4 linked regions of the Xenopus tropicalis genome follow. The protein of the gene in region 4 interacts with the protein of the main gene of each other region in a pairwise test. Links are inferred from orthologs where the notes say so. Each region holds a gene or a part of one and is shown on either strand. Other genes may lie near its edges.

Region 1 (7,498 bases), on a different chromosome or scaffold from region 4:
TGCTACTGACGTGAGATTGCCTCAACCTTTAGTTCCTGTGGAGATCCCATTCAACAAATAGAATGGAACTGGATTTATAGAGCTGCTTTTTTCTGGGGATACAAAGTACATCTCCAAAGTTATGGCAGCTCTGTTTGGGTGCAATAACTGGAGCAGCAAGGTCACAAGGATCTAATGCTGGGATACATGAATAGGTCTCCATCTTGAGATCAGATGTCACTGTCCTTGATCTCATGAACCAAAGAGCCAGCTACATATAGAAAAAAACTATGTAATGATATAAAGCAAAAAAATAAGGAAAAAATTAATATACAAGGCATGCAAAGCTAGTATGGATTAGGGATACAATACACATATACAATTGCTTATTGGTAGGAGGCAATAAGGGAAGGGCCATTCCTGTGTGAGCTTACAGTCTAAGAATATTTCCCATTTTTTGTAAATGATAAAAGACAAAAAACTGTAGTGAATCTGTAGTGAATAGCCTTATTATTATTTATATTTTTTATTATTATTATTACTACCCGGTCCCTGCCCCAGTTGAGCTTACAGTCTAAGTTCCTATCAATGATATCAGTAGCCAGTTCATATTTTTGGAGTGTGAAAGGAAACTGGGGTACCTGGAGGAAATAACACAAGCATGGAAAGAACATACAGATCCCATGTGATAGAGCCCTTCATTCATTCCAGTAAAGGAGTGAGAATGAGTGTTACAGTTACCCATTGCTTATTTTTCTTTTTTATTTCTTAAACTCCAGGCACTCTGAGGCTGATATATATCATACTGAGGTCATTGTCTCTCCTTGCATTGACTTGCATTGCACATTTCTAGACACAGAAGCTGTGTAAAGATAAACCATGCTTTCTTTGCATAGCTTAAATAAGATATATGATTCAAAATTAAAACAATAGCCTGAGCCATATTAACCCTATTTATTAGTTGTACTTTTGGCTCTCTTACATATTTCCCCTTCATATAAAATACACTTTACACCACAACTTGTTTGCTTTGCAGTGGCCTGAGCCAAATATGGGTAACACAGCAAGTGATCGCTTATCTGGAGATCGGCATGGCAAGTCCCACCGTGCAGATGGAGCAACTGGGGGACACTCTACTAAGGAGCATGAGGAAAACAAAATCATGGTTGGAAGCACAGACGACCCAAATATCTTTAGTACTCAAGAATCTAAGGTATTCCAATGAACTGAAAAGCTATATGAGACTGGAGTGGGAATGTGATCTTTTAATGCCATAGGGGTCATTTACTATGACCCGAATGCTAGTGTTAGAAGGGATGCAAAAATACATTCCATAGTGCTTCTTCTAAAGAGTTTATTATATGTGGACCTCCTGCTGTTGAACTACATTTCTGAGAAATCCCTTGACACAAAAGGTAGATAGCAACAATAGCTGGAGACCCACAAGTTATTGTTTCCCGAGCTATAAATCTATTTCTAATTTACATTTTGGCAATGCAGCACCCTGGTGACTCAACGTGGCCCCAGGAATCAGAGGATCCTGGAAAATCAGCTCAGCAAGGTCGTCCCACTGTAATCCGTTGGACAGAAGGTGGCAAAGAAGTCTTCATATCTGGGTCATTTAACAACTGGACTGCCAAAATTCCACTGATTAAAAGGTAGTACAACTTACATAAAAATAGGCATATATTGGTTTTGTATTTTTTAGTTTACATGATTGTCTTACCTGTAACTCTCTAGCTGGGCAGAAGTCATACTTTTTAAACATATCAGGGAAGGCTTAATATTTTTTTCCCTAACAACAGGTAGCTTTTTTATTTGCACAGTGGCACCTGTTTAAATGAAAGCAGCCCAGGGGCATGTATACCTATAGAAATATTTATTAACTTAAAAGCTATATGAGACTGGAGTGGGAATGTGATCTTTTAATACTATAGTGCGCTCTTTCATCTACAAATATTTGTTTGAATCTTGCTAAGAAAATAAGTGACTTGTAGAGCTATAATCAATAAATACTCATTTTAAGAGACAAATCTTAGTTGTATAAGACTGTAGCTTAGCACTTTTGTGTATATTTGTTTATAATACAGAAGAGCCATGAATATACTATACATTATAAAGTAAATAATGTACCCCTATTGTAAAATATAAGGATATTAAAAGTCACCAAGGAGTTCCATGACTACATAAAAGCACAAGGCCCAAGGACACATGCTTTTATTCAGGTCATGGAACTCCATCACTAAGCACTGATTTTAACTGATGACATCACTAAGCACCATTTCTAAGTATATAATTTACAGGAAATTTGTGGCTCTTCTGTATTATATCCTTATAAATGGTGCTTATTGATGTTGTCAGTTATAATCAGTGCTTAGTAATGTAATGTCTGTCACAGAAGTTGCTGAAACTTGTGTAATTTCTTAAATATAGTAACCCCTGTTGTAAAATATAAGAATATTAATAGTCACTGAGTTCCACGACTTGTATAAAAGCACTTGGTTTTTTATTCACTACATGTTATTCATTCTGTCGGTTTAAACTTCTCATTTTTAAATTTGTCTTGTAGCCACAATGACTTTGTTGCCATTTTGGACCTTCCAGAGGGAGAGCATCAGTACAAGTTTTTTGTGGATGGCCAATGGGTACATGACCCTTCTGAGGTAAATCGGGGGAGAGCTGTAGCTTGTTTAGAAAGGCTATCCATTCACACTAAATCTCAAAATTCCACACATGAGAAGCTTACAGGGGAGAATGACTGTTTATTTGGCTGTGTTATGATGAGTTTGTGTGTTATGATTCCCAGTGTCATTGCACATAACTGTATCTGCTTAAAGGAGAAGGAAAGGCTAAGTCACTTGGGGGTGCCAAAATGTTAGGCACCCCCAAGTGACTTAGATCGCTTACCTTGTACCCTGGGCTGGTGCCCCTGTTAGGAGAAAAAAGCACCAGCCCAGGGTACCTGCAGGAAGCGCTTCCTTCTTCCTTTTTCTTCTGCCAGCGAAATCCGTGGGCCGGCGCATGCGCAGTAGAGTGAAAAGCCGACTTTCTTGTTTCAGTTCGGCTTTTCACTCTACTGCGCATGCGCACGCAAGCGAATAGGAAGTGGAAGCGCTCGCTGCTACCTCGGGCTGGTGCTGTTCTCTCCGTACAGGGGCACCAGCCCGGGGTAAAAGGTAAGCGATCTAAGTCACTTGGGGGTGCCTAACATTTCAGCACCCCCAAGTGACTTAGCCTTTCCTTCTCCTTTAAAGCGATACTGACACGAAAAAACTACTTTTTAAAATATGAATCTACATAAAAAGTTACCTATAGGTCATGTTGATCATTTTTCACTGATAGGGCTGCTTTTGTGAGTAATTGTTACTTGAAGTTCCTAAACCCGACTGTTTTGCTAACCTGACTGTCCCTTCTCAGCCTGTCAGTTATAGCTTCTAATGCTAACAGACTCCTGCTGCACAAATATTGCCGCCCCCTCATAGAGAAACATGGGGGATTAGATAGGTAATGTAAAAGCCTCAGGAAATATGTTTATGGCAAAATTATAAAGCTCATGCAAAGACAATGTTATGAAAGATGTAAAAAAGTTTTAATTTCTGGTGTCAGTATCACTTTAATACAGAACTGATCACAACTAGTATATATTTGCACATTTTAACCTTGGCCTTGTTGTGGTAAAATTAAATCATGCTTGTGCCCTCTTGTTGGATACTTTCTGTATGACAGAAAGTAGACAACAAGATATGTTTCAAATTTATGCATTATACACATCCATTTACACAACTTGAACAGAGCTAGTGCTTGTAAGTGCTAAATCATACTCTTAGGCTTTCCTAATATATGGAGAATGTTCTGACTGTTAAAGTGATAGGATTATACCAGTGGCTTCACTGCAAGTCTCATTCTCTCTTCAGCCTGTGGTTACCAGCCAGCTTGGTACAATCAACAACTTGATCCATGTTAAGAAGTCGGATTTTGAAGTATTTGATGCTTTAAAATTAGATTCAATGGAGAGTTCTGACACATCAGCTAGAGGTAGGAACTGGCATTCATTTGTTAGTTTGTAATACAACCTGTTATTCTACATTGGTAATCTGGTGCTTTCAATTGCATTGTTGCTAGTTACCCAACTGAAGCAATCAGCATGGCAGCCTATATACAATGAAGGAATGTTCTGCAAGCAATAAACTATGTGGTCACTTACTATCTAGTAAATACAGCCATGAACACTCACAGAAACGCTGCACTGAGTTCTCTGTCAAAAGATTTCTTGTGTCTGTTTTCCTCTGCTAGAGACATGCAGCTCTCTCCTCTCTCCCCTGTCCTGCTCCCCCCTCCCTCAAGAATGCTAAGAACTCCCTCCCCCACCATAGGAATGTGGATCTGAGCCAATCAGCAGGAAGCTTCCTCATAGTCTTACAAACTGAGCATGTACACCGGTCTGGGTCTGGGTGCAGGAGTGAGGCATTATGGGAACTTTTTTTTACACAGCTCAGCGTTTTTTCTTCCTGTTTGGCTTCTGATCGGGAGAAATATGGGGAGACTTAATGGCACTATTGAGAGAGCTGAAGGTATGCCTGCAGCTTGAGATTAACTCTTTATTAGCCTTTCCTTCTATGATTATCAAGGGGTGTAATATTTTAGGGAGAAATTATTTAATTTCACTCAGTCCATTTAGGAAGAAATTATTCCATTTCACACAGAATTCTAAATATTTTTGTATTAAGATTTAGTGCCTGTATTTGCTGTCAGTGGATCTGAAGATAAATGTATTACATATAATGATCTGATGCAGACTTGTTGCCCTTTTCACCTATTATTTTTCATTTTGTTTCTTGATAGACTTATCAAGTTCCCCTCCTGGACTTTATGGCCAAGAACTATATGCTTACAAGCCAGAGGAACGCTATAAATCACCTCCTATCCTTCCTCCCCATCTTCTCCAAGTTATACTTAACAAAGACACCAACATCTCTGTGAGTTTAAAGCATTATATATTTGAAGAAGCTCTTTATGCTTTTGTTAATGTTCTTTTACCTGGAGAAATTAAGATCCAAATATGTATTTTTTCTATTGCCCTTAATCCAGGAGCAGGCAAGCCAAGTTTTAGCAGGTATTTTTTAATAAAGCATTCAAAATAATAAATGGTGTGCAGGATAGGGCAATTATTGGGGCAGGGTAGAATAGATTTTTTACTTAAAAATGTTTAGTGTTACTTTTCCTTTAATGGGGCTACATATAAAAGTCTCTAGAAATGCTTTATAGTGTTCATAATGGCCAGGCAGCATGCAGCTTCGCAACATTTTCCAGACCAACCACTGATCCGCTCAGCTCTGAGGAACTTACGGAAGCAGATCCGATTCTCTCAGCCTGGCAGAAAAGCGCAGGGCTGAGAGAAGCTTCATCTGACCTCGCCCTTAAGCTGATAAATTTGAAAAAGTAGATTTGAAAGAATCAATACACCTATATTGCCCCCACAGTATAAAGAGAGAAATGTGTAGAACAGTTTTTGTGGGCACATCTTAATACAAAATCCATGTTTAATGCTGGCATTTCCCATAGGTCAGTATGTGGTTACACAACACTTCAACCCTTCTTTTATCTCTTTACTTAAAATTCCTAACATTCTTCTTAGTATTAGCAGAGGACAATCATTTGCTCCTACTGGTAACACATTTTGTGTTTTAAGTGTACAGACATGACTTGCAACACATGAAAAGTTTGAATATGAAGTTATGTTAAAACCTTCTCTAACACATGTATGTTTATTTTAGTGTGATCCTGCCCTCCTTCCAGAACCCAATCACGTCATGCTAAACCATCTGTATGCTTTGTCAATAAAGGTAAAGTTTTCTGTTAATAAGGGGTTAAAGGAAATATTTCAGACCCTAGTAATGCAGAAAAGTATAAAGGACTACCATACAGCTTAGCTGCCAGCATCATGAATATCGTTAACAATCTAATATTGTGAGATTAGACCTTACCACAGTAAAATTCACCCACTCTCTGTTCATTCCATTGGGATTTTTAGAGACGTATTTATCAATAGGTGAAAGTTAGAATGTACCATTTGATAAATACTCCTCTAAAAATACCACATGAAGAAACAGAGTGGAGTATTTTACAGTGGTGAGCTCTAATTTTACACTTTCATAAATATGCCCCTTCATGTGATTTACCTGCTCCTTTATTAAAAAAAACTGGGACAGTAACTCACAAGAAATAGGATTTCATGCATGCTGGTTGCATAAACGAAAGAGTGTGGGTCAAAGTAGTGCTAAAATATGAATAAAGCCTGCTCTGGAAAACCTGTGTGGTTAAGCCAAATCCCGGCACAGTCTCTTCCAGGACACAGTCCCACACTCCACTCCTGCTGGACACTATAATGGAAGCAGTCCCCGCGGTTGCAGGGGGCCCAGATTGCAGCGGTCGCAGGGGGTCTGCTTCCCTCCCCAGCCGCTCTTTTACCTATTCAACATAAGTGGCTGGGAAGTAGTGGACACGGGCGGGTGGAAGATTTTTTTGCCTTACAAGCCAGCGCATGAATTCTCAGAATTGCTTGAAAGTGCAAATTCATAGAATTACTACTTAGTTAAATGCAATGGGGGATGTGTTAACTGTACAAGAATAATGCAGTATACATTTTTATATTTCAGTTTATAGTTTTTATCTTAAACTAATCTTAAATCTTGTAACTGATCAATAATATTTGATAGTCATCACAAGCTAAGCTGACTGAATAGTTTCCCCTTATAAATGTTGGGGACCCACAACGCACTTAATGTACCAACCTTCTGTGATGTATCGATTTTTGTTTTTCAGGATGGAGTAATGGTTCTTAGTGCGACTCATCGCTACAAGAAGAAGTATGTCACCACTTTACTGTACAAGCCAATTTAGATTAGGCGCAGTTGTCAGTCTATCTATGTGTGTGGCATAAAATTGGTCGGATACATACCTTATGGATGAGCAGGTTGAACCAGTGTTTTATACTTGTTCTAAACCTAACTTGGTACGGTTGGCACATGGGAAGTGTTGCTAAAAATTATATGTTCATGGTCCATTTATTAAATAAGGTGGACTTAAACAGGAAGAAGTGGTATTTTCACAGTCTGTACTCCTTCCTGTGATGCAATAAGCAAACACCCAATATTATGCACCACTGACTCTTTAACTTTAAATGCAAATACTTTTTAGAACTAGCAAAACTAGAAGCTGATGAGTATGTTAAATAAAGGATTAAAATGATGGCAAGGTTGGCTGAAACCTGTCCTGGAATGGTGAATGGCACATTATTTTGTTGCCTTCCATTGCTGTCTTGAACCAAATTATACATAAAAACCCCAAGTAACATTTACAAATGCCCTATAACCGTCTCTTATATAGTTAAAGTGTTAATTCTCACATAGTGTTATGGTATCTTTGCAAAGTAGAACAAACACCACTCAGATGAGCATGTTGTGCGCCTAATTAAATGTGTCTGTATCTGAGAATGTATTTACCTCTACAGTGTTCTTTC
Region 2 (8,013 bases), on a different chromosome or scaffold from region 4:
ATGGAAAAATGTAGTTCTGTTTATCCAGCATGCTTAGTACCGGATGATTTCTGAATAGGGGATCATTTAGTAATTTGGATCACCATACCTTAAAGCAGGGATCCCCAACCTTTTTTACTCGTGAGCCACACTCAAATGTAGTAAGAGTTGGGGAGCAACACAAGCATCATAAAAGTTCATGATGGTGCCAAATCGGGGCTAAGATTGGCTATTTGGTAGCCCCGTTGTGGACTGGCAGCCTAAATGAGGCTCTGTTTGGCAGTACAACTGGTTTTTATGCAACCAAAACTTGCCTCCAAGTGAGGAATTGAAAAATAAGCACCTTCTTTGAGGCCACTGGGAGCAACATCCAAGGGGTTGGGGAGCAACATGTTGCTCACGAACCACTGGTTGGGGATCACTGCCTTAAAGGGACAGCACACTCCCCTTTTCAACATGAGCTCAACAATTAGGGCTTGTGCTGAACAAACTTTTTGCCTATTGTTTTAAATAAGCAATATCTATGGTTTCTGTTATTTCTGGAACTAAACGAGAATATGAAGCCAGTGTCATTTTAATATTTCCTGATCCCACAGAATTTCAGAGGAGCTCATAAAACTCAGTCCACTATTTATCTTAACCTACCTAACCCTTTTTCCTTTCTGTACCCCATTTCTGCTTGAAATAAAGAATATAAAAAACTCAGTCCACTGAGAATCCCCTGTTAATGAGTTACTTAAAAAAGGGAGGGGTTTGTTTGTTCAATGGTAGACAGGGAACAAATTGCCTTTTTATAAAGTAAGTGGGGAGGTAAATACTGTGAAAATAGCCTAAAGGTGGCCATACACGGACCGATTTTTTACTTACAAACGACCGATTCCCGAACGATCCGATGCTATCGTTAAGTTATCGTATAGTTGGTGGTGTACGAACGATCGTCGGCCCACTAAACGAGCCGACATTATCGTCCCCAAAATCGATCGGCCAGGTTTAAAAATTTTGGTCGTTTAACGATAAAATCTGCCAGTTGGTGTGAGTGTCAGACATTTGTCTTTCAACGATTGTTCTCTGCGCATGTCACGATTGCCAGCAACGACATCGATCGTACGTAGATGTACGATCGTAGGTATTTTACGATAATGATGCGACAAAATCTTTCCCGAATTATCGTTGCCCGTGGATGGCATATCGTATGGGAACTCGATCGCCATACGATCGTTTGTCGATATAATCGTTCATCGCACAACGAGCGAAATCGCCTCGTGTATGGCCACCTTAACTTTCAAATTAATGCTTTATAATTACAAAAAAAAGGAAAATGTGAGGTTTTTTTTAATTTAAACAATAAGCAGACTGTAATTTCAACACAAGTCAGTGTTCATTGTTACAGTCAGTCTTACAGTGTTCATTTTAAACTTAAGTGTTTTAGGTGTATACTGTCCCTATAAGTCTACTAAAAATAAATTGAAAAATTAAATAAACCTAATAGGATTGTTTTACCACTAATATGGATCCATGCAGCTTAGTTACCTTAGCTTAGTTAAGTACAAACTACTAATTTATTATTACAGAGAAAAAGGAAACCATTTTAAACAATCACAAATGGGAATATGGGAGATGACCTTTCTGTAATTTGGAGCTATTCTCATAATGGGTCTCTAATAGTGATGTCTGGGTTGAACCCACCCGCAAATGTTTTGCTGAGGTCTGCCCAAACCAGGCCAACCCACAAGTACCGGGTCAGCCTGCACATCACTAGTTCCTAGATAAGGGATCCTTTACCCGCAGCCATATTAAATATACAGACAACCCGCCCTTAAATAGCATAGTTAACAAATCAAGATGCAAAAAAGTAAATAATGCAGTAAAATGAAATGTTTGTTGATTTAAAATTTTGGTGTTACTGATTCTTTAAGGTGTTATGACTTATTTTTTAAGTATTTATTTTTTTTTACATAAAAACAAACAATTTTGTATAGGTTTTTGAAGTTTGTATGTATTATCCAGTAGACAACCCCGATGAATTTTAAATCTGCAAAGCTATATGTTGTTTGTTAAAGGAAAAGTATTTTTTAAGTAAAAAATCTATTCTACCCTGCTCCAATAATTGCCCTATCCTGAACACCGTTTATTATTTTGAATGCTTTATTACAAAATACCTTCCAAAACTTTGCATCCGGTCATTTCAAATACAACGAACTTCCCTCTGCACAATCCACTATGCGACGATCGACATCTCCTCCTTGCCCGACTCCAAAACCGGAAGTCAATGGTTTGCCTGTACAGAAGTAAGGCTAAGAGGAGATGTCGATTATCGCATAGTGGATTGAGCAGAGGGAAGATCGCTGTATCGCCGTATTTAAAATGACCGGATGCAAAGTTTTAGAAGGTATTTTCTATTAAACAATTCAAAATAATAAAAGGTGTGCAGGATAGGGCAATTATTGGAGCAAGGTAGAATAGATTTTTTACTTTAGTACTTACTTTTTTTTTTACTTTTAGTGTTACTTTTCCTTTAATCATTTTTAGAAGCAATCAGATTAATCAGTGGTTTTCATCCAAACAGACCCCCCCCAAGGATAAATAAAATAAAAGTGATTGACTTCTGAGGATTAGAGTGTTTATTTATGTGTGTTGTGAGCATTACACAACAGCAGAGCTGCTAAGTTCTCTGGAAGCAATGCCACCAAGGGTTGTTGGCCAATCAGAGGCAAACAAAACTAACAGCATAAAGTGTGATTGCAAACAAAAGTTGTAAATGCCATCGCCACTGGACTTCAGAACAGTGGAAACACATTCTCTGGAGTGCTAAATGGCGGTTAAATACAGCTTGACACAGTTCCCCAGAAAGAAATTCAAAACTCTCAATACAACTGTATAACATTTTTACAGTTATATTTATTAAAGGGTGAGTTTTTATACAATGATAACTAATAACTAAAATGTTAACTAATCTCTAAAAATCCAAAAATAAATAAAAGAGCTGTGAAGGAGAAGATAAAAACACTGTAGTGAAGGAATACAGCACTGTACAGTCTGACTGGTAAATGTTAAAACATAACTTGTAGGAATAAAATACAAATCATACTCCCCCCCCCCCCCCCCCTTAAAAAAGATCCTTCAATCACATGGATAACTTTCTTTCACAGGCAACAGATATTAACCAAATAATGCAGCTAACTGTGCTGTCACTCAGCATCTGCCTTCATCATGACCTAGCAGGCTAATATTTCATACCAACACTGATGTAAGAACAGTCTTAAAAAAGCATAAAATATTTTGTAACTTAAAAAACAGCAACAGCCAAAAGCTTAGATACAGACAGAACACAAGTCAGCATAACAGAAATGCATATATGATGCACCATTTATCACTCGGAGCATGATCTAGCCATGTGGTAATGCACTAAGCACCTAGCTTATCTCTGCACCAGAAGAAATACCTTCAAAACAGCAGTTACGGCACCATAGATGAGGTAACAAGAAACACCATAATCAATAAACAATTTCCACACACTTAAAGGGGAATTAAACACCCCAAAAAGCAAAATACTGTACAACTGCTCAGAATACTCTTCTCAGCACTTTTACTATTTACACTGAACATTTTAAGATATAAGCACTTTGCAATAATAATATAATTTATTTGAAACCACACAGCTCCCTACTGTTCTGATCAGCTGGCCATCATAAAATGATGTTACTGAGTTACTCAGTAGGCAATATCATTGACCAAGGAAACCTCTCTGCTCAGTAACTACCTTAACAGAGCACTGCAGTTTTAAATTCATTATATCAGTGTACATTATAAAAGTGCTCAGAAGAGCATACTACCAATTTTACATTAATTTCTTTTGGGGTGTTTAGGTCCACTTTAACATTTATATTTTTATGTTCTAACTAAAAATGTAGGCAAATACCAAAATAGATATATAGTAATAACATACTTCATCACAAGATATTCGATTAATGGGCCCAGTCCTGTGATCTTCAATCACCCCAGACAGTAGACCTCGAACGCAAATACAGCAAGGCAGTGTATGTGCTTTGGGATGCCTGTGAAATAACACAGAATATACAGAATCTCGCCTTTTCTATGTTTTTTCTTTATTTCCAAACATGAAAATACTTAATCTTTGAGGTTCCATATGTAGAATCATTAGCACTCACACAACATTGGCCAAATTTGCCTTTGGGCAGTTACCCATAGCAACCAATCCATGATTGGCTTTTTCAGCTAACTGCATTTAGAACAATGAATGCAACAACTTGATTGGTTGCCATGAGTTACTATTCAAGAGCAAAGTTGCCCAGTGTTGATAAATGACCCCCACCGTTCTCAGAAAACATATGAACAAATATTCCAAGGGGCCTCAACCTACACAGCACCCTTACTTGATGGAATGATGTCACAATTTTTGCTCTTCTACCCCTCTCTCTAAACTAAGGCTCCCTGTAATGATCACCAACTAAACTGGTAAAAGAAATGATCCCCTTTTTATATAGAATAATTTACCACTAGAGCATTTCCTAGTTATTTTCTCTTAAATTTGCAAATGTATTTGAGTCGTGCATTAGCCTTTACTTTCTTCATCCTAAGTTCAAGCTGAATATGCTCCATACTCTGTTTAAAAGCGGCATCACCATAACCCTCTGTCTCCTGGTTGTGACTTTAGATCAACATGTTTCCTGTAGAGCTCCATTTTCTTATTTACACTGCTATTTGGTTAGTAGGGGTGTTGACCAAAGTAACCAGTCAGTGGTTCCAGTCACTGGCTTGAAGATAAATAGGAGAAGGCCTGAATCTATATTAATATGTATGAAAAAGACCCACTCCTGCCAAACCATTTTTAACTATGCCTTGAACCAGCTAGAGAAATCACACATGTGGGGGGTCCCCACCACTTATGTCCCCAAAGGGGGGGGCAGCTGCTGGAGGAATGCTTAGAGGCAGGTGTAGGGGATAAGGCGGCAGGCCCATACATACAGGCATCTGGACCTTCTACCTGCCTGAACCTTTTTTAATCCAAACCCACCTGACCTGCAGGTCTTCGATACACTGCTATAAATATATCTTACCTTTTCAGCTATACTGTACAAAACTTCATCCATCTTCATACAAGTTGGATCCCAGTCATGGCCAAAACGTATAACTAAAACTCTGTCTTCCTCAGACAAGATTGCCTGGTCGACCTGCCAGCCATTGTGCAAATGAGGAAGCATGTACGACATTTTGGCAGCTTTGCTTTAAAGCTAAAAGGACAAGAAAAGAAGTATTGCAAGAAATGAAACACTTTTCTCAAATGCGTGAAGATACAAACATACTCCCATCTACACTGACAGGCTAACATGCTAATACTTTCAATTAAAAATTATCTGGGCAAATTTTAAATATTTTTAATGGTTAAAGAGTCCGAAGTATCCCCCAAGATTATAGTTTACAGATGAGGATACAAATTGTAGCGTAATGCTGCTCGTAACAATCCGACATGAATCTGGGAAATGTGGGGCTGCAGTAGAGGCAGGGGGATTGCCTGAAGGCCACTTTGGGTGAGTATTGGTGCAAATTCATGTGAATCAATAGCAAGCTCCTGAGTTATACCAACAAGCTGCCCCAAAGCCTTATATATATATATATATATAGGCTACATACCACCCAACTGTGCTGATTTAACTAATACAGTCCGCAGTCCCGTACGGTTGTTTAAAAGTCTTGCGGTGCTGTTGCCGTGTAGCCCCTCGCTTCCTGCCGTACAGCGAGCCAACGCACCGCAAGTCTCATCTCGCGAGAAGGTGACGTCACATCAATACTATAAACGTGGTTACGCAGCACGTAGCTGCCTTGAGGCCAATGTCAAAGGAAGATGGAACTTGAGTTGAACATGTGCTGTTTCTTTTCTTTATATGCACAGCCCAGTAGCTGCAGCTAGAGCCTATGCCCCAACAGAACCTTTAAATTAACTAGATTAGACTAGACTATTTAAATTTAAATAGATTTAGCTTATGCCAGGCACAGGGAACAGAGAAATAAGGCTTTTAAGTTCCTGGTTGTGGTCATACCCCCCCAACTGTCCCGCTTTTTACGGCGCATCCCGCTGTCCCGGATAGTTCCATGAATGTCCCGCATTGCGGGACATTCATGGAACTATCCGGCACAGCGGGATGCGCTTGCTGTAGCCAGATGTTCTTGCTTCTTCTGCGGCTTCGTTATGCCTCTCCTTGTGCAGCGCGACAGGCCCTTTTATAAGGTTGCGCCTGTGGGTGTGACGTCATTACGCACGGAGCGCAACCTTATAAAAGGGCCTGTCGCGCTGCACAAGGAGAGGCATAACAAAGCCGCAGACGAAGGCTGCGCCTATGGGAGGTACTGTGTATTGGGGGGGGTACTGTGTATTGGGGCACTGTGTATGGGAGACTATTGTGTATGGGGGCACTGTGTATGGGGGGGCAAAACTGGTACTTAGTTATAACTCACTTATAACTGACTGCCTTCTCTCTATATTTGTATTTTAATGTAGGAGTTGCTATATTGTTTTCCTTAGGTCGTTCAGTATGAGGGTATAGCACATTTTCATCTGCGCCCGCCATTTGATCTATATAAAAGGGGTATTTTTTTAAAAATGGGGTGCAGTAATTGGGGCGTGGCCACAAAAGGGGGCGTGGTCAAAAAATTGCCGCGCTGCACACACCAAATCTTTTTGTCCCTCTTTTCATTTTTCAAATGTTGGGAGGTATGGTGGTGGTTACCAGCAAAAAGTAGTCTTCAGTTTTTAGTTGCTTTTCCTTGGTGTGTGTAGGCTATTGTATTGTGGTAACATGTAAAAACTACACATCTTTATTTTGCTGTTGAAGTAGGACTGGATTACCCATGGCCCACAGGGTACTTAACTCAAGGGGTAACTGCTGCTGCTGTGCTGAGTAGGAGTGGTTGGGGGCAGAGCAGATGCAGGCAGTTCACAGAGTCTGGGCATACCGGGTTTTTTCCATGTAGCCCGGTGGCCCAGTCCCACCCTGTTCACTTACTGGGTAGATGCCCATGTTTCTATTTCTCTATATATTTATTGCATTATTAGCCCATGACCACTTCCTGCCACACTTTAATATAGTGTTTGGCTAGGGTGGTTCTTCCTTTTTGGCCTTCGTCTCTTGACCTAGGTGAATGTATTCTAGGGAGCCTGAGATCAACACAGCGAAGCATCTAGCCCTAGAGGAGGTCAATCTCTCTAATGAAGTCAGGGAGCAAGGACCCTGTGAATGAGGAATAGTAAGAGCAGGTTGATTCTTTAATAGCACTCTAGGAAAGTGAGATAGTGAGTCATCGTTTGTAAGAGCAGCTCTTTGTGCTCCAACCAGGAGAGACAGTGGGGTGTAGTCTCCTAAAAGGCTCTGCTGCCTTAGAGAATGGACCGCAGTAGTGACGGGTATCAGGTTTAAATTATTTTCCAAGATCCAGGTCTGCTGTTGGGATCCAGGCCATTTAAGGTGGAAACCCTAATGATATTATTCTACTTGCCCTATACTGGTCCTCTGCAGTGGTGCATTATTCTGAATATGCTGCAAATCTTATGTATCTGAATACCTGCAATGATATCAAGCATTGCAGGGGAAAACAGTTGTCCCGTGCCCGGACGATGGTTGCTTTATAGGGGGCCCAGCCGTGATACAGTTTTTTAGCTCAGGTCCCCTTTAAAGAACTCCGGGCCCTGTCATGGGTTCATTGGTGGCCAGCGGGAAATTTGATTGGTTGCGCCCCATGCATCCGTACGCACAGGGCGCAACCTTATAAAATGTTAAGATGCAGCGGGGAGCTGGCACAGATCAAGAGGACGCAGAAGAAGGAAGTTGCCAGTGGGGGAGCTGGAGGATGCCAGAGGAAGCCGCAGGGGAGCGGGAGTAAGTAGCTGGGGTGGAGGGCGGGGAGCGGGAGTAAGTAGCTGGGGTGGAGGGCGGGGAGCGGGAGTAAGTAGCTGGGGTGGAGGGCGGGGAGCGGGAGTAAGTAGCTGGGGTGAATTGTGTTGTGAGGGGCCCCGTGATT
Region 3 (8,195 bases), about 53 Mb from region 4:
ATCTGCATGGCATCTTAAAGGTCACATTTCCTCCCTGCATGATATGTGGAACATATGGTGTTTTGACCACTACTGTTCTTGGGGAGAACCATGGTATTCAAAATGCCTTTCCTTATTTGCAGCAGCATCCCATTATCTCATTCAAAATAATGGGAAATTCACTGTATCAGACACTGGCCTTGTCAGGCAAGGATTGCTTGGGAATGATGAAGATCAGAACTGGCATAATCATTTAACATCACAGTTGTGGTTATTTTGCAGAAAACCATGCATATCTTTTTTTAAATTCACCAAAACGTTCTTTTTCAATTGGCCGCAATCTTAATGACTTTACTCCTGCCCGTAACAGGGAGAACTGTGTAAAGGATACTTTCAGCAATTATTTAAAAAACTAAACAAAAAAAATTTTGATTCTTTTTCAGCAAAATAGCTGTAGTGGTTGGCATTGGGCAACTGTGTCCACTGATTGGGCAACTGTGTGCTGGATGAAATTCTGCCTTATCATCAATTTGTCTCATTCTTCCCCCCTCCCATCAATGACAGTGAAAAGCAAGAGGACAAAGATAGGTTTGTTCTGCACATTTGCCAATCGCCGACTACAGAGCAACAATTGGAGGGAAAGTATGCTATTACATAACTTGAATCTGCAAAAAAAACCTTGCTTTTGCAAAGGAAAATAGGGTATTATTTCATCCGGAGACTACAATGAAAATAGTACCCCTAAAATACACGTGACCATGAAAAATTGAGATCTCTTAAAAAGTAGCCTTGTGTTACTCAGGAAGAAAAGCCACTCTCTGTCTGTAATCTCATCTGGGCTACTGTACCACGGACAGGAAATTGCCTGTTGCAGGAAGTGTGTGTGGCACAGGCTTAATAACTGAACTCAATGGAGAAAGAGTGGTTGCCAGTGTACACACCACTGGGACTCTGAGACTGACTGGAATTCTAACTCAAAACATCTGTGTGCTAGAAAGATGCCCAGTCCTACTCATGAATGAGTCAGATATCACTTGTTTTTTAGATATATTTTCCAGTCTTGTTGCTAAGGCCATGCAACAGTAACCATAATAACAAAGACACAAAATTTACTGTTGGGCAGTACCTTAATGAGGTCTGGAAGAAAATATTATACTGCATCATCTTGAACACTGACAAGTATTTCTGTCCATGACCCCCAATGCCCTTACTAACCCTTATTTAATCTCTTTTGGTTGACATTTCTTGGGTTATCAGCAGGGTGATAGCTTCTCATCTTTCAGTGACCTCTACTCCCGTACCAGTTGGATTGGGAAATAGTTTTTAGAATCCCAATATCTGTTTAGGTGACCTCTGCAAAGAGGGTGGACAAAAACACTTCTCATGTTTCCAGATGATACCAAAAGATTGGAATTTGTAAATATACAATAACGAAAATGGCCTGACAAATCCCAGAAGTCAGGTAGCCATGTTACCTAAATTTTCACTCTGGCTCTCAAAGTTTTGGGTGTTTTATATGACTATTGCGAAACACTATCAAAAAGTCACTGGAAAACCATTATGGAAGGGTAAACTATAAGTGAGTGTTAGCTGAGACACTCACAGCTCAAGCTTTATGTAGTAACAATATTCTGCCTGGCACAGTTTTATTGCTGAGCAAATGGAGCATCTTATCTGCTTTACCAGCTATATGCCAATACATCATCACAGTGGACCAGATAAGTAATTTCTGACAAACTTGATATTTTGACATCATCAATAACATCCAGAGCTTGCCAAATGGTTTTGGGTTATAGTTTGGTCCTTTCTGATTCAAGCTACATCATACAGTTCCATGACAGGGATTTAGTTGCTGTGAGGTCCTAACTTTCCTAAAAAAAGCTAATATCTGACACTGACTGCATACTATATTATCCGATATGCACCATTATCAAACAAACTTGGACATTATAGAAACACAGGTGAAAATTTGCTTGGAAACAGTAACTTATAACAATCAATCACATACATGCCTTCCTTATTCTAACTGTACTTGTACAGTGTAACCTAACTGCTAAAAGACAAACTTGTTCCCATTTTGTCCTTACAGGTTTTCTCTACAATCAACCATTATTCTTACTTAGTCTTACATACTGAATCCTTTCATGTGTGTTTTGGACCACCATTTATTCTGCTTTTTCTTTTGATAAATAAGACATCATAGTCAGTGTGATATGAATATCCACTCAAAAAGTCATTGTAGATTCTGTAGTGTCTTTCACTATCTGACCAGTGTCTCATTTACTTCTTCAGTCAGGCCCAAAGCTTATAGAGTAGTGTTAAGTTTTCCATAAAGATGTTACTTTATTTATTTTTTTTACTTTATTTACCCTTCCTGGAGCATATCGCTCAACCGGATATAGCACAGTGACAGCTAAAAATTCCATATACACATTTTTACCCAACTTCTAAGTGACAGACAGCTGCAAGAAAAAAATCTAAAATATTAGTAGACAGGTTAATGTCTCTTAGTAGTAGCATTCTTTATTTATATAGTACCACATGCAAAGGCTGGACCCCCTGCATGGCAGGGGTGCCAACCACTGTGCTACCATGCCGCCCTAAGCTGTAGGATATTCCGGTAAAATTATTTTACTTTAAGCAATGGTCTTGATTAATTATGTGACCAACTGGATAGCCACAGAATCATCTAGTGTATGGTCACCTCTGTACATCTTATTTCTTCAAAGTACTTGTATGCTGTGTTTGAAAAATACAAAGCCTAAGCAATGAAACTCACTCATGCATGGATCCCTTCCTTTGTCCAAGGACTTGGTTGATTGTTGTGTATATAATGGATTATATATGTGATGGCATAATGTATTCCACAACGTATGGTGCAAGAGACCTTCTAAAGAGGAAGGCTTTATCTCGGCACTGGGTGATCTATCTATAAAATGAATTTCGTCATCCAGTTCTTATGAGTTTATACATGTCAGCAGCAAGAGCGAAGCAAAAAAATCATTAACGTATTTTTATACAGTATATTTTGGCAGCTTGCCGGCAGACTTTCTCTTTGGATTGAACAGAGCTCCCCCTGTCTGTGTTTCTATGCAAATACTCACATTCTAATACATTTTCATCAGTCAGAAATATGAAGTAGCATCTTTACCACCTGATATGTTTTCTGTCTTAGAACAGCTCCAGTTTATACATACAAATTTTAAACATGGTTTTGCTTGCTTTGCTCAGTTAACAATTCTTGTCTTCTGTTTCAATTTAATTAAATACAGGTTCTGATTATGTATCATTTATGTACTATCCCAGACACAATACAGCTATTTCTTTCTGTCAGTATGGAAGTTATGAGATTCACATGAGTACCATCAAGTACACCTATCCATACAAATATAAATGGGGTCAATAGCAGTTTTCTTTGTCCCAAATATACAGTATTTGGCATACATTAAAACTGTTTTTAGCAATAAATATTCATACAATAATTACATATCAGACAACTCTTCCTACAAAATGTATACTCTGATAACTCATTAAAGACTGCAGTTATTCCCACTCTACTCTTTTAGAAGTGTTTAATAATGGCAATACAAACAAAAAAGCTTGCTATTTTATTAGCAATTTTATGTTTCTCATAATTCTTAGCTGAGCTGTATTTTATATCTTGCACTAAATGTATTAAAATTAACATGTACTGCAACTGGCACAGAAGACCCAAAAAGAGAACAAACAATACAGCAAAAACAGTAAGCATAACACTTGTAGGTATGTTGGTGTTTGTATGTAAGAATATATATTTTGATTAAAATTATATATACATATATATACATACATGCAAAGATTTCTACAGATAGCGCACCTATAGCTACAGTTTATACTACATGCAACAGGCAGAGGACTTTACTATCACAGCTTAACATTCATCACAAATACTTTTTTTAAACAGGAAACCCAGAGGTCATTGACTCTGATGATCAGAACAGCGCTTTGCTTACCAGTGCCTACAGAACATACTGTCTTTAAAATTCCAATTAAATTTAATTAGGAGCAGATAGGGGCTTTTGAAAAATGAACTGTTCATTTTTTTTAATCTGTTCATCAATATGGGTTTTAAACACCCAGCTGAATTAAGCAGGGTATGAGCAATACAATTCTAGTATCATACCACAGAACAATGCCCAAACTTAGGGTCCAGCACAGGAGTCAGACACAGACATACACAGACAGATGATACTTCTAATAATACCCAGTCTGTAGTTAAACCTGACACTTGATGGTTTAGAATTTCGTGAAACAAAAGCCAAATACCAGAGGAAGCTCCGTTTTCAACAATAGAATCAGAACGATAGTAGAAGGCACCGAGCTCGGCGTTACTACAGCAAATAAAATAAAGGGAACTTTAAGCGTGCATAGAACAGTGCTGCCGGGGGTTAATAAAGTGCAGCCCTTAGCAAAGGCACAAGAAATGCAAAAGCACAAAGCTCTATAAATGAGATATGATGAGAAAATAAAGCTTACGAATTACCTTTTATTTCTTGAGTTCCAAAAGGCAGATGCAGGAATGCAGGCAGCAGTGAAGCAGATGAGATGCAGAGAAGCACGCTCAGCGCTGGCTGACACACAGTACAGTACCGATCACTTACTCACAGAGGAAATGACTAACTCCCAGGACTAGCCCTAATTCCTAAGGTACGCTTTATTAGCATAGGAAAGTCACGCCCACCCCGCTCTGTGCTCTGGGATAGGGCGGGGCTTGGAGGAGTGACAATGACCAGTCTAGTACCTGGCTCGAAAATCTCGGCCAGCTGTAACCCCTTGACTGCTGGATAGAGCAGCAGCTAATTGGCTAAAAACTTGGAGCTAGCTGTAGAGAGGTGAAATAAGTGTATAGAGGATATACATTATATTTATAGTTAAACAAATTACGTGCAAGTTACAGCTCTTTAAGCGCAGTGCTGTCTGTATTCGTTGGCCAGTGCAGTCCAATAGGAAGCGGCCTGCTAGCCGCTCTGCTATCCAACAACTGAAGTGTAGTCGCATCCTGTTGCAGCGGATAAGAATGTTGTCAAATATCACCCTGACGAGCAAGCTTTATAGGCTCTTACAATCTACATAGGGCTCATTTCGCAATAGGCAAAGTGCAAAATTAGGACACAAATCACGGTTTTGTGCTTTTTGCAGAATTCTAAAATTATTATTGCCTGTTAAATAGGATGTGCCTCAACTTGTCTTCAGTATGTCAAAATAAAAAGCATTTCTCAGTGCTAACGGTGCAATTCAATTAAATGCAAAGTAGTTGGGTACAAACCCCCATATGTATCTTTTCTTTTTAACATAGTATATGCTATCTGCTCCTGGGGAAATGACTCCATTCAGCCCCAGCATCATTTCATTTTACCTAGAGCATGGATCCCCAACCTTTTATACCTGTGAGCCACATTCAAATGGAAAAAGTTTTGGAGAGCAACACAAGCATGAAAAAAGTTCCCGGTGGTGCCAATGAGTGCTATAATTGGCTATTTGATAGCCCCTCTGGTGACTGTAAGCATACAGAAGGCTCTGTTTGGCAATTACACTGGGTGTTTATATAACCAAAGCTTGTCTCCTAACCAGAAATTAAAAAAATAAGCACCTGCTTTGAGGCCACTGGGAGCAACATCCAAGGGGTTGGGGAGCAACATGTTGCTCATGAGCCACTGGTTGGGGATCACTGACCTAGAGTATGCCCACTCCAGACAATCTGTGGGTTCAGGCAAATGAGGGGCTGCTCCAAGATGCCATAGAAAATCACTATTTAGTGGGCAGGTGGGGCTGTTTGGGCCTCTGCACTTAGATTGCCAGGGCTTAATTTGACTCCCAGACATGGCCCACTCCCATTACAAGCCCACCCCTTTGTGACCCATGATCGGACCTTCAAATGTCTCAGGGACCCCCTATGCTATAGGGCCCTTGACTGGACTCCCCACTGCCCCTCCCTGATGGCAGCCCTTGTCCAGTGCACTATGAACTTGAGCTCAGTTAGTTCAGGATGAAATAGTATATTGCCATGTTCAGGAAAGTATATTTTGGTTAGAGGTCTTCTTGTATTTGGAGCATCAGTCCTCATGGCTACTAAACAGAAATACAAAAAAACAAAAATATATTAAGCTTAGTGTAAGAAGTATTAATACTAAAAAGAGTATTATTTTTCCATAAGCATGCACTTCTAAAAGCTTAGTAGACATCATAGTACAGTCTTATTATTACATAAAAAAGCAAGTCAGTCAAGAATTTATTTTTAAATAGGCATAGGCATATGACATGTTTTAGAGCTTCCCAGATAACAGATCTGGGTAAAACCAACAAATTGTTATTGGTGTGTAGCTGAAGAGACCAGTACAGCAACACTGTTATGAAGGCTTTATGTCCCTTGAAAAATAAATGAAGACTATAAATACAAACTATGAAATATAATACCATTGTGCTTGGGCATTTGTATAGCTTCATGATCAGAGCACTTTCTTGAAAGGTAATTTATCATTAGAAAATGTGGCAAACAGCATTTTGCATAATCAATTTTCTCTTCTTTGTCAAGAAATTGTACTTGTGCTTTTAAGTGTTTGCTGTTCAAAGTCAGTGGCATTTTGTCCCCTGCCTATGGAGCTAGAAAACAGAGCGACAAATCTCCATTGTCGCAGGCGATTAATGTCCCCGCAATGCCATCTCACTGGCTAGAATGTAAATCACTGGTGGGATGGCATACGCGGTGTGGAGATTTGCCTAAGTCGCCCAAAGTTTCCAATCAAGGCAACTTCGGCGACTTCGGCAAATCGCGGCACCGCGTATGCCATCCCACCGGCTAGAATGTGAATCGCCGGTGGGATGGCATACGCGGTGCCGTGATTTGCCGAATTGCGGGGGGGACTAATCTCCCCGTGTACCCTCTTAAACAATGCCAAATGCCCTACTTGAGGCTGATGGCAAAAGGGGCTTTTTCTCTGCATCTTTCAGCTGATGTTTCCTATACCAGAAAACTGGAAGCATCAGTGACTTTGGCCACTTATCAACCAAAAACGTCTGTGTGTAACTACATTACCCTAGATGTAATTAAACATGGCAATATATTGGTTACTCCTGACCTAGTGACATGGGTATGTGAAAAAAGCATGGCCTACCCAATCAATATCTTATCAGAAAGGTAGGAACATAACATACAAGAGTGCATTGGACTATGCAATTGTCTCGTTACAGATATGCACAGAGTCCCATGTAAAATGTCCCAGGTACCAAGTGATTAAATCCAACCAATTAAAAACAAAAAATTTGTGGCTAAATTGGGCAAAGATCTGCTCAATTGGCCACTGTGACCGAACATAAAACAATATGGATATAATGCTGTTTAGATATTTGACAACAGGAAAAATTAAAGCGTGAACAAAGAACAGGAAGTCATGTGTAGACAGAGCAAGCAGAATCCTCACTAGAGTTTCCTCTTGCATTCATTAGGTCACGAGATTACAAAGCAAAGAAAAAACCTTATAAGCAGTTCTACTATAGTGATTTAATCTGTATGGTGCTGGACTACAGTGCCCAGCATGCTTTAACCCATGATAATATGTCTAAGTATGCAGGATGCTACAGTATAATCTAGAAGCATTTGCTTAACCAATGATGCCTCTTTTTAAGATGAGCATTTTTGCTAAACCTTAGACGGTAAAATTAGTTTGGAAGGTGATGCAAAAGGGACTAATGCTTACAGGGGTGATTTGGTGCTCAGCACCATTTGTTGCTTATAAACTCCCGCTCTCCTATCTAAGAGCCGGCAGGGAATGGGGATTTACAAGTAACCATTAAGGAAGCAGACCCTGCGGTCTGGGACCCCCTGTCTCCCAGGCCCCCTGTGGGGGAGACAAAATTTTTCCTCCTACTTTGTATTCCTTCCTACTTTTTATTCCTTATCTTTCTATTCAGGTCCTCTGCTTTTCATATTCCAGTCTCTCATTCAAGCCATTGCCTGGTTGCTAGGGTATACTGTGCCCTAGCAACCAGATAGCTGTTGAAATCCCAAACTGATGTGATGTAGAAAAAGCTAAATAATTCAAGAACCACAACAAATAAAAAGCAATGTCAAATACTCTTAGAATGTGAATGTCTACACAGTGTCGAACTGGGGGAGGTGGGGCCCACTGGAAAACCTGATCAAAGAGCCCACCACTCTGGCCTCACCTGCCCCCCCCCCC
Region 4 (8,219 bases):
AGACACTGCAGCATTTTCAGGGATTACAATCAAAAGCCCTGACATTCTGAAAAAAGTTCATTCCCTCTTCACATTACTGCAATGGCAACCCCTCATCATCAGAGAGAGGTACTAATGAAAATAAGTATATAAATACTCTAATTCCCTCCCTTCCCTACCCCCACCCCTTAACAAATACAAGTTGTTTTTTTTTTTTACAAATAAACATAAATAGGCCCTGTAACAGGTTACACAGTCCAAAAAATCAATATATATGTACATAGCAACAGCACTGCTGCAAAGTTTGTGCAAACTGCATTATATGCATCCATAAAAAGGGCTCGATATTGTAAATTCAACTGCTGTTGCAGTCTGTGCTCGTCCATGACATAGCTACAGATTTGAAAACCAAAAAGTGAGATTAATCAGTTCAAGACTTGATAAATCATATTCCATACTGAAAGTATCAAAACGTAGGGAAGGTGTCATCTGACCCAGCAAAGGAAACATCATGTAATCTTCTGCCGTGCCAAAAAGGATTGCATTGATTGGTGCATAGGTCTGCTGCTGTAACATCACTGGGCAGAGGGATGTCACAACCACCAGGCTTCACACTTAGTTCTGCTGCTCCTCCAATCAGATGGTGCAGGAGGATAAAATTAATTTCACATGACACAGCATTTTTTCTCTTCACCAAAGGATCGCTCAACGCGGTCGATTTCCTCGATCATTTTAGTAAAGATCAGCTTACTCCTCTATAAAAACAGACAAAAAAACAGAAATTAAGTTGTGTATGAGAAATACATTGCAAATGTGCAATGAGCAGCAATAATTTTAAGGGCATCTAAGCTAAGTTGAAGGGGGTTTATTAAATTATTTTTTTTTTTTACACACCAATTCTAGCTGCATTCAGCCAAAGGAATGATTATTTAGAAACGAAAATGCTCTTTCCACTTCTATGGCCTCTTCACGCACAGAAACCTACATACACATATTATATAGTCTGCCATACACAGGAAGATTTTAGCTCCCAATATGGGTTCAGGCTGATCCGGCAGCTTATCCGCCCATGTATTGGCACCCCTGACGTGCCTGCCCGACCAACATCTCGCCTAAAACTAGCCAGGTCTCGATGGGGCAGGTTTAATTTTCCCACCAGATTAGGGACAGCATCAGTTTGTTTATGTGGCCCTTGGTTATAAGGCGCCTACGCCTAAGAAAGCATGTAAATAGTTACCAATTTACCTCAGGGTCTTTTGCTGAAACTTCCAGGAATGCAGCTCCCCAAGACTCTGCTAGTTTTTTCCCATCTTCTGGTTTCACTTCACGGCTACTCAAAAATAGGTTAAGAAAAAAAAAGTTACAAAAAAAACTTCTCAGATCAGAACTCAAAGCAAAACATCAGCAGTACTAGTAATTCAGCTATACCATGTGACATGCCATGTAGTTTAGTAATCAAAAGAGTTGATTCACTTGTATTGGCTTTACAGTGACCCTATTTTTTGCAACACAGTAGCCATAGGAGTTATTAAAGGGGTGGTTCACCTATAAGTGAACTTTGAAGATAATGTAGACATTCAAATTATATGACAATTTGCAATTGTTTTTCATATGGTTTCTTAATTATGCATGAGTACAGTTTATCCTAGTGATCAAGCAGTGGTTTAAATGAGAGACTGGCATATGAATATCAGAGGGACTGAATAGAAAGATAAAGAATAGAAAAGATTGTTTTGGCTGCTGGGGTCAGTTCCCTCCTCCCATATGATAGCTGGAAAGAGGCAGAAGAAGAAAGACTAATAATTCAGAAACTACAAAAAAAAATGAAAATGAGGACAAACTGAAAAGTTGCTAAGAATAACACATTCTATAACACAGTAAAATGTAACTTGACACAGCAGGATCAAAGACAATGGCGACCAAAGGGTGACCTGTATTGTTGGCAGCGCACTGATGTGGAAAAATGCATCATACATAGCCTATATGCACTAGCTGCTTACACCTCAGGACAGACCTTAGACACTTGAAAAACAAAAATCATCACTATAACCAAAACACGAGTGGGATTTTACTGAAAAATATATCAAAAACTAAATTAAATATTCAAAATAATTGAGTAATTTGAAAGCATACCAGTGAGTTGGCAGATCATTCTTATTCCCAACAAGGACTATAGGCATGCTGTAAAGAAAAAAGGAAAACATTAAAAATATTAAATTAGCAAACATATCTATATAAAATTCATGAAGTTTTCATGATATAAAATTTTACCAATCACCTAAAGCTATATTTGTTCAGGTGCAGATGCAGAAACACATTGCTTCAAGGAAACTTGTTGCTTCAAGGCATTTGGCTTCACAAGGGCAAACTGTGATGTTGGGGAAGTACTTAGTAAAGGTGGCCATACACGAGGCGATTTCGCTCGTTGTGCGATGAACGATTATATCGACAAACGATCGTATGGCGATCGAGTTCCCATACGATATGCCATCCACGGGCAACGATAATTCGGGAAAGATTTTGTCGCATCATTATCGTAAAATACCTACGATCGTACATCTACGTACGATCGATGTCGTTGACTTCCGCTGCTGGCAATCGTGACATGCGCAGAGAACAATCGTTGAAAGACAAATGTCTGACACTCACACCAACTGGCAGATTTTATCGTTAAACGACCAAAATTTTTAAACCTGGCCGATCGATTTTGGGGACGATAATGTCGGCTCGTTTAGTGGGCCGACGATCGTTCGTACACCACCAACTATACGATAACTTAACGATAGCATCGGATCGTTCGGGAATCGGTCGTTTGTAAGTAAAAAATCGGTCCGTGTATGGCCACCTTAAGTCTTACATGTATGGAGAAGTCACCAAAATACACATCTTTGTCTGGGAGATTAGTCACCCACAGTTACATCCTGGCTCCTGCAGTCAACATGCCTTTCTACCAGCAATAAAGTTAATCATCGGTGGGAAGGCATATACAACACTCCAAAGTTGTGTAAAGTTTTCTTTGATTTTTGTATATAATCTATATGTTCGATAGTGATGTGTGGGTCAACCTACACCTGACTCTAACCCGCCTGATTCACATCCACACCCAACCCTAACCCTGCGAGTCTCGGCATTTATAAACCAAAGTCTGACGTGCCCCTTTCTGATGTCAAAAAATGGGCGGGACATTCAGGTGAGGATCTATAAATAGTGAGTTCTCAGGGCTGAAGGGGGGCATAGTATGATCGCAGGCAGGAAGGGAGCATGGAACCCATCCAAAAGCTGTATGGATGTTGGCCTGAACCCACCTGACCCATGGGTAAGCCCAGGGCTGCTCCTGCCATGAGCCAAATTTTTGTCTTTTAAAACAAAATCTCTACTGGGTAACCTATGGCTACTGCGGGTTTCAGGCTGGCTCACACATCACTAAATGTTCGATATATACCATCTTTATTTGAACAGTGCTGTAAAATATGTCAGTACTTATGGTATAATTAGGAAACTAGGGGATGTTAAAAAAAAAAATATCAATACTTACAGGCACTTCCCTCTCCTGTCCACAAGAATGCTATGAATGGCACGTGCTATCTGAAAGCTGAGAGTAAAGAATTTTAATTAAAATCAAGAACTACATCAAACACCTTTTTAAAAATGCTGGGAGTTATAGATGCATATTTATTAACAGTAATTATCAAAAGAGCTAAAAGAAAATGATCTTGTAATTCACAATTTGTTTATATTTATATTATAGTTTGTTTTTAAAATTTTCTTTTGCTAACAGCTTAACAGAGTAGGAGTAACTATGTTTGACAACCCTGTATCACACTTGTCTATCTGGCAATTACCTTCAGTCATCAGTAGGTGGCGCACTCTCTCAATATATAACAGTCAAAAAAAAAAAAAAAAGAGCTTACCTTCTGGAGCATGCCACTGAGTATACTACAATGTATCCATGGATCCCAAAAATAAATGACTGAGGCAACAAAGAGTATTCGTCCTTAAAACAAAAAATGACAAAGGTTAGTTTGCTGTTGAACAATAGGATGTGAAAAAGCTCCTAAAAGTGGAAAACAACTCACCTGCCCTGCTGTGTCCACCACATCCAACTCAAACTCATCACTCCCCATAACAAAGGTCTTGCTCCAAGCTGCAGGGAGAGGGAATTCATTACTATGGGGGTAGAATATACAGGCAGCCAGTCAGGGATCTCAGCACAGACTTTCACTTACTGTTTTCAATGGTAGGCTCATAGTCCTTAGGAAAATCTCCTTTAATAAACTGAAGTGCAAGGGAAGATTTGCCTTGAAGAAACAAAATGAAAATATTAAAAGAATGCATTACACACATATAAAAGAAGTAATGACAAGCCCTGCGTCATATCTACTGCTACTATCAGCACCACTGCATTATCTTTCAAGTCATCTGGTAACACCCATGAGAATGAACAGCCAAATCACAGGGATTAAAGAACAAGCTGAGCAGAAAATCCACTTTACACAGATAACTCAGTGAGCTCCTTCCCCCCCACCCAAGTGATTGTGGAGCTGATAGAGTGTGTGAAACAGGACTGGCAGCTGTGTTTGGCCAGGTGCACTTAGCATGGAGATAGCCCTACTGAATCACTGCCTCATACACGTTGCGCAGAGTCATCAGGAAACAGAGCCATGTGCCTGGAACAATCCTGCTAGTACCCCACCCCCACCCATTAACAAAACATGTCAGCCGAGCCCATCCACAGAAACCCCCCCTCCCCCCTGCTCAGGGAAGCACTACTACACACCATCGTCACCACAACACACACACACTGGCCGCCGGTCAACCAAATCGCGCAGGAAATGCTATTACATAATACATTTTTGTATTGCTTTCTGCCTATCTGATGCACAATACAAAAGAATTGATGTCAAATCTCTAGTTACCCCACTATCTCCTTATAGCCTCACACTCCGACCCTGGTAGATCACCAGCAGTTCCCTCCCTAGTGTAACACTAGCACATCCACAGTAGTACTCCCACATCGCACTGCACGCAGTGTTACTTTTTATTCATTTAATTAGACACACAAATGCCAATATACTGGATAACAAGACTTTGGTTCCGCAGGGGACAGTGGGAACTGTAGTTCCCGGGTTCCCCATAAACTGTGATGTTCATCTTTGCAATGTAACTTATCCCCACCCGTAGGTGCCAGCTCCACAGCATGCAACTGTCTGTACTGCACCAAATAGAGGGGTAGCACTTACCTACTGAAGGGTACCCCAACATCACAATCTTGCGGTGTTTGACAGGCGCCATGACGATTAAGAACAAAACAAAATCCGAAATACGGACTTCCACCCTATGGAAACCAAAAATCCCAAAACAAATGCCTGCACTCTGCGACCCCTTGGAATATAGCCAAATCCTCCGCACACAGATCAAATACACGGGTTGTAGCAGGCTAGCCCCGCCCGCCTATGCTGTACGCCAATCAGTGGAGTGGAAAATTGGGTACGTGATCTGGATTGGCCAGGTTTCCCCCGCGAGTTCCAATGAAAGGCAAGCAGACGCTAAGGCGCGTTTATTCATTGTTTGGGTTGCGACGGAGGAATGTGGAGAATTCGGCTCTTCTGATTGGCGCTTTCTATTTCGGAGTGGGTTGGGCTTAGCACGCAGGAAACATGGAAACAAACTCACGTGTTGCCTTCTCTGGCTCCCGGTAGCTGCTAGGGGTGCGACACACGGGCAAGCCCTTCTCTGGCTCCCGGTAGCTGCTAGGGGTGCGACACACGGGCAAGCCCTTCTCTGGCTCCCGGTAGCTGCTAGGGGTGCGACACACGGGCAAGCCCTTCTCTGGCTCCCGGTAGCTGCTAGGGGTGCGACACACGGGCAAGCCCTTCTCTGGCTCCCGGTAGTTGCTAGGGGTGCGACACACGGGCAAGCCCTTCTCTGGCTCCCGGTAGTTGCTAGGGGTGCGACACACGGGCAAGCCCTTCTCTGGCTCCCGGTAGCTGCTAGGGGTGCGACACACGGGCAAGCCCTTCTCTGGCTCCCGGTAGCTGCTAGGGGTGCGACACACGGGCAAGCCCTTCTCTGGCTCCCGGTAGCTACTAGGGGTGCGACACACGGGCAAGCAAGTATTTAGGTTCGTAAAAGAAAACGCCGTGAGCAGCTGCTGACTTATAGCACAGGGAATCCTTGGTCTTTGTCCAAAACCAGAAGCGACCGTGTATTTATTTGTGAGGCCAAAGGGGAAATTCTCTCTTGAATTAAGGGGCATTCTGGAACCTGTGCTATATAGCCTTAAATAGTTATCATTTACTCTCTCCATTTGTTTCACATCAGCTCAGTTGTTTGTAAATAAAACAAATACAATTATTTCAAAATTAGAATATACTCCTTTAATCTGTGGGTGTTACCCTGCCAAAGTGTGGTAATTTACAGCAATTAATGCATGCGGTTATTTTCTAAACTGGATTTGGCTGATTAAAGCTAATTGGCTGCCGGTGATTGGCAGCACAGGTGATCTGTACCGACTGTGTTAGTAATTAAGGCCTGGTACGTCTTCAATGATGCTGTCTCATTAAAGTGTTTATAATTTGTAGAAACCCATTTTTGGCTTCTGATCTGAGCCATAGGCTATGGAAAAAAAGGTCAGTAAGGTCTATGGTGACTTTAAAGCAAGTTCTATGTGTCTTATCCTCCCCCTCATTGTCCACTTTAGATTGAGTAATGTACCTGGGCAGTTGGGCTACTAGTGTGTAGGACTGTCTGTATGCATGGACACTAAACTATAGAAAAAAAAAAAACAGGAGGAAGGAGAACCAAAATTCAGTTTTTGTGGTTAATGTTGCTTTGCAACAGCTTTTGCTGTGATTTAGCCTGACGGTGAGAATTAATGTTTTATAAAGAAGTTGAAAATGTTTTGTTGTATCATTCAAGAGATATTTTAAAGCTCTGGCATTTGAGGATGTAGAGTGTGTGCTTCTAATTAGAAATTAATGGAATTTCCAGTAAGCAGACACATATGGGGGGAGGGGATAGTTGGAATGTTTGAACTAGTTCATTGTCCCACTACTTTGGGACCAGGGTCTCCTTAGCTGTCAGGGGTCTATTATGAGCAATGACTTCTCAAGCAAGGGCCAGCCTTTAGTTCCACTGCTGGATAAACGCATCTTTATATTTTGCTCCTGGCTAATAAAATCTGGATACAAGTCTCCATTTTGTATTTTTTTGGAATGCCATGAAACTATAGTAGGTTGTTCCAAATAATAGTTTATCACATGGAAGCCTTTCTGGTATAGATCCCTTTACCCTGTAAAGGTCCAGTATCCTCCTTCTTGGTAGGTCTTATTAGGGTCACGGTGCACAGAAAATGTACTTCTCTTTCACCCTGTTTTAAGCTTGTTGCTATTGACCCAACACACCAAATTCTACATATGTTTGGTGACTGTCTAATATGAGCATGTGCACATAAACATGTTTTAAATATGTTGTCACTTTTTTTTTTTATCTTATTACTTGTGTAATTGTCTTTAGAGAATCCATACTTAATGAGCATGGTTTTAAGACTACTCAACAAATCTGCTTGAACTATTACTGCACCAGAAGGAGTGTCTAGAAGATCCAGAGAATACCCCATGAAAATTGTTTCTAGTGCCTAACCAGCCAAAACATCTTTAGCTCAAATCTGGCTTTGACTTTTTTTTTTTAATCTGTGTATACTTCCCTCTAACTGATAACTAGTTAAGGCAAACCCTGTGTTTTTTGGTCCATTCTGCAAATTTATTTAACACTCAAGCAGCAAAATGCCTAGAATTACACCTTATGCCGTTGCTCTAAGACTGTCCTGATAAGAGGTAATTCTGTAAATTACATATCATCTCCCCATAAAGTTAAACATGCCACACCATTTCCTATGTAAATTACTTCCCTTCTAGTCCATTCTTTTAGTAAAGATTAAAACACCCTTTGCCATTGTTGCCTTTCAGTAAGGAGCTCCTATTTTGTAGTTTCCTGGCAGTGAAAAAGAAGTTACAGGACAGATCTATAAGTATCTGTCTTGTCAGTAAATGTAGTGGGTGTAGAAGGTTTAAGCATTTACACAGCTGACAGTGATCATAGCTGTAAGGTGAGATGGTCTGATCACATACTGTAAAATCTTTAGCAAAAGGTTACTTCCATGGAGGTTCCAAGGAGTATGTTTTCTTTTTATTGTATTGGTGGTCTGTATCAGTATTTCACAGGCCACATTTCTTTGTTGC

Evidence for each region.
Region 1: the proteins of rhebl1 (region 4) and prkab2 interact in binary tests that used the Homo sapiens proteins (3 or more experiments, as listed by UniProt). The link is inferred for Xenopus tropicalis from reciprocal best matches to the Homo sapiens genes RHEBL1 and PRKAB2.
Region 2: the proteins of rhebl1 (region 4) and txnl4a interact in a two-hybrid assay, tested with the Homo sapiens proteins (2 studies listed by BioGRID and IntAct). The link is inferred for Xenopus tropicalis from reciprocal best matches to the Homo sapiens genes RHEBL1 and TXNL4A.
Region 3: the proteins of rhebl1 (region 4) and fhl3 interact in binary tests that used the Homo sapiens proteins (3 or more experiments, as listed by UniProt). The two-hybrid records come from large-scale screens. The link is inferred for Xenopus tropicalis from reciprocal best matches to the Homo sapiens genes RHEBL1 and FHL3.

The regions. Positions count from the first base shown.
Region 1 is NC_030680.2:118,095,051-118,102,548, forward strand, and holds part of prkab2 (5'-AMP-activated protein kinase subunit beta-2), read left to right. Parts: intron 1-1,015; 5' UTR 1,016-1,030; coding exon 1,031-1,192; intron 1,193-1,479; coding exon 1,480-1,637; intron 1,638-2,548; coding exon 2,549-2,642; intron 2,643-3,893; coding exon 3,894-4,014; intron 4,015-4,821; coding exon 4,822-4,955; intron 4,956-5,753; coding exon 5,754-5,822; intron 5,823-6,801; coding exon 6,802-6,879; 3' UTR 6,880-7,498. UniProt on the Homo sapiens protein: Non-catalytic subunit of AMP-activated protein kinase (AMPK), an energy sensor protein kinase that plays a key role in regulating cellular energy metabolism.
Region 2 is NC_030682.2:96,971,172-96,979,184, reverse strand, and holds the start of txnl4a (thioredoxin-like protein 4A), read right to left. Parts: upstream 5,224-8,013; 5' UTR 5,211-5,223; coding exon 5,058-5,210; intron 1-5,057. UniProt on the Homo sapiens protein: Plays a role in pre-mRNA splicing as component of the U5 snRNP and U4/U6-U5 tri-snRNP complexes that are involved in spliceosome assembly, and as component of the precatalytic spliceosome (spliceosome B complex).
Region 3 is NC_030678.2:83,930,250-83,938,444, forward strand, and holds the start of fhl3 (four and a half LIM domains protein 3), read right to left. Parts: upstream 4,613-8,195; 5' UTR 4,502-4,612; intron 1-4,501. UniProt on the Homo sapiens protein: Recruited by SOX15 to FOXK1 promoters where it acts as a transcriptional coactivator of FOXK1.
Region 4 is NC_030678.2:136,445,638-136,453,856, forward strand, and holds the start of rhebl1 (GTPase RhebL1), read right to left. Parts: upstream 5,344-8,219; 5' UTR 5,272-5,343; coding exon 5,220-5,271; intron 4,278-5,219; coding exon 4,206-4,277; intron 4,124-4,205; coding exon 4,056-4,123; intron 3,974-4,055; coding exon 3,891-3,973; intron 3,572-3,890; coding exon 3,515-3,571; intron 2,161-3,514; coding exon 2,113-2,160; intron 1,310-2,112; coding exon 1,225-1,309; intron 735-1,224; coding exon 645-734; 3' UTR 1-644.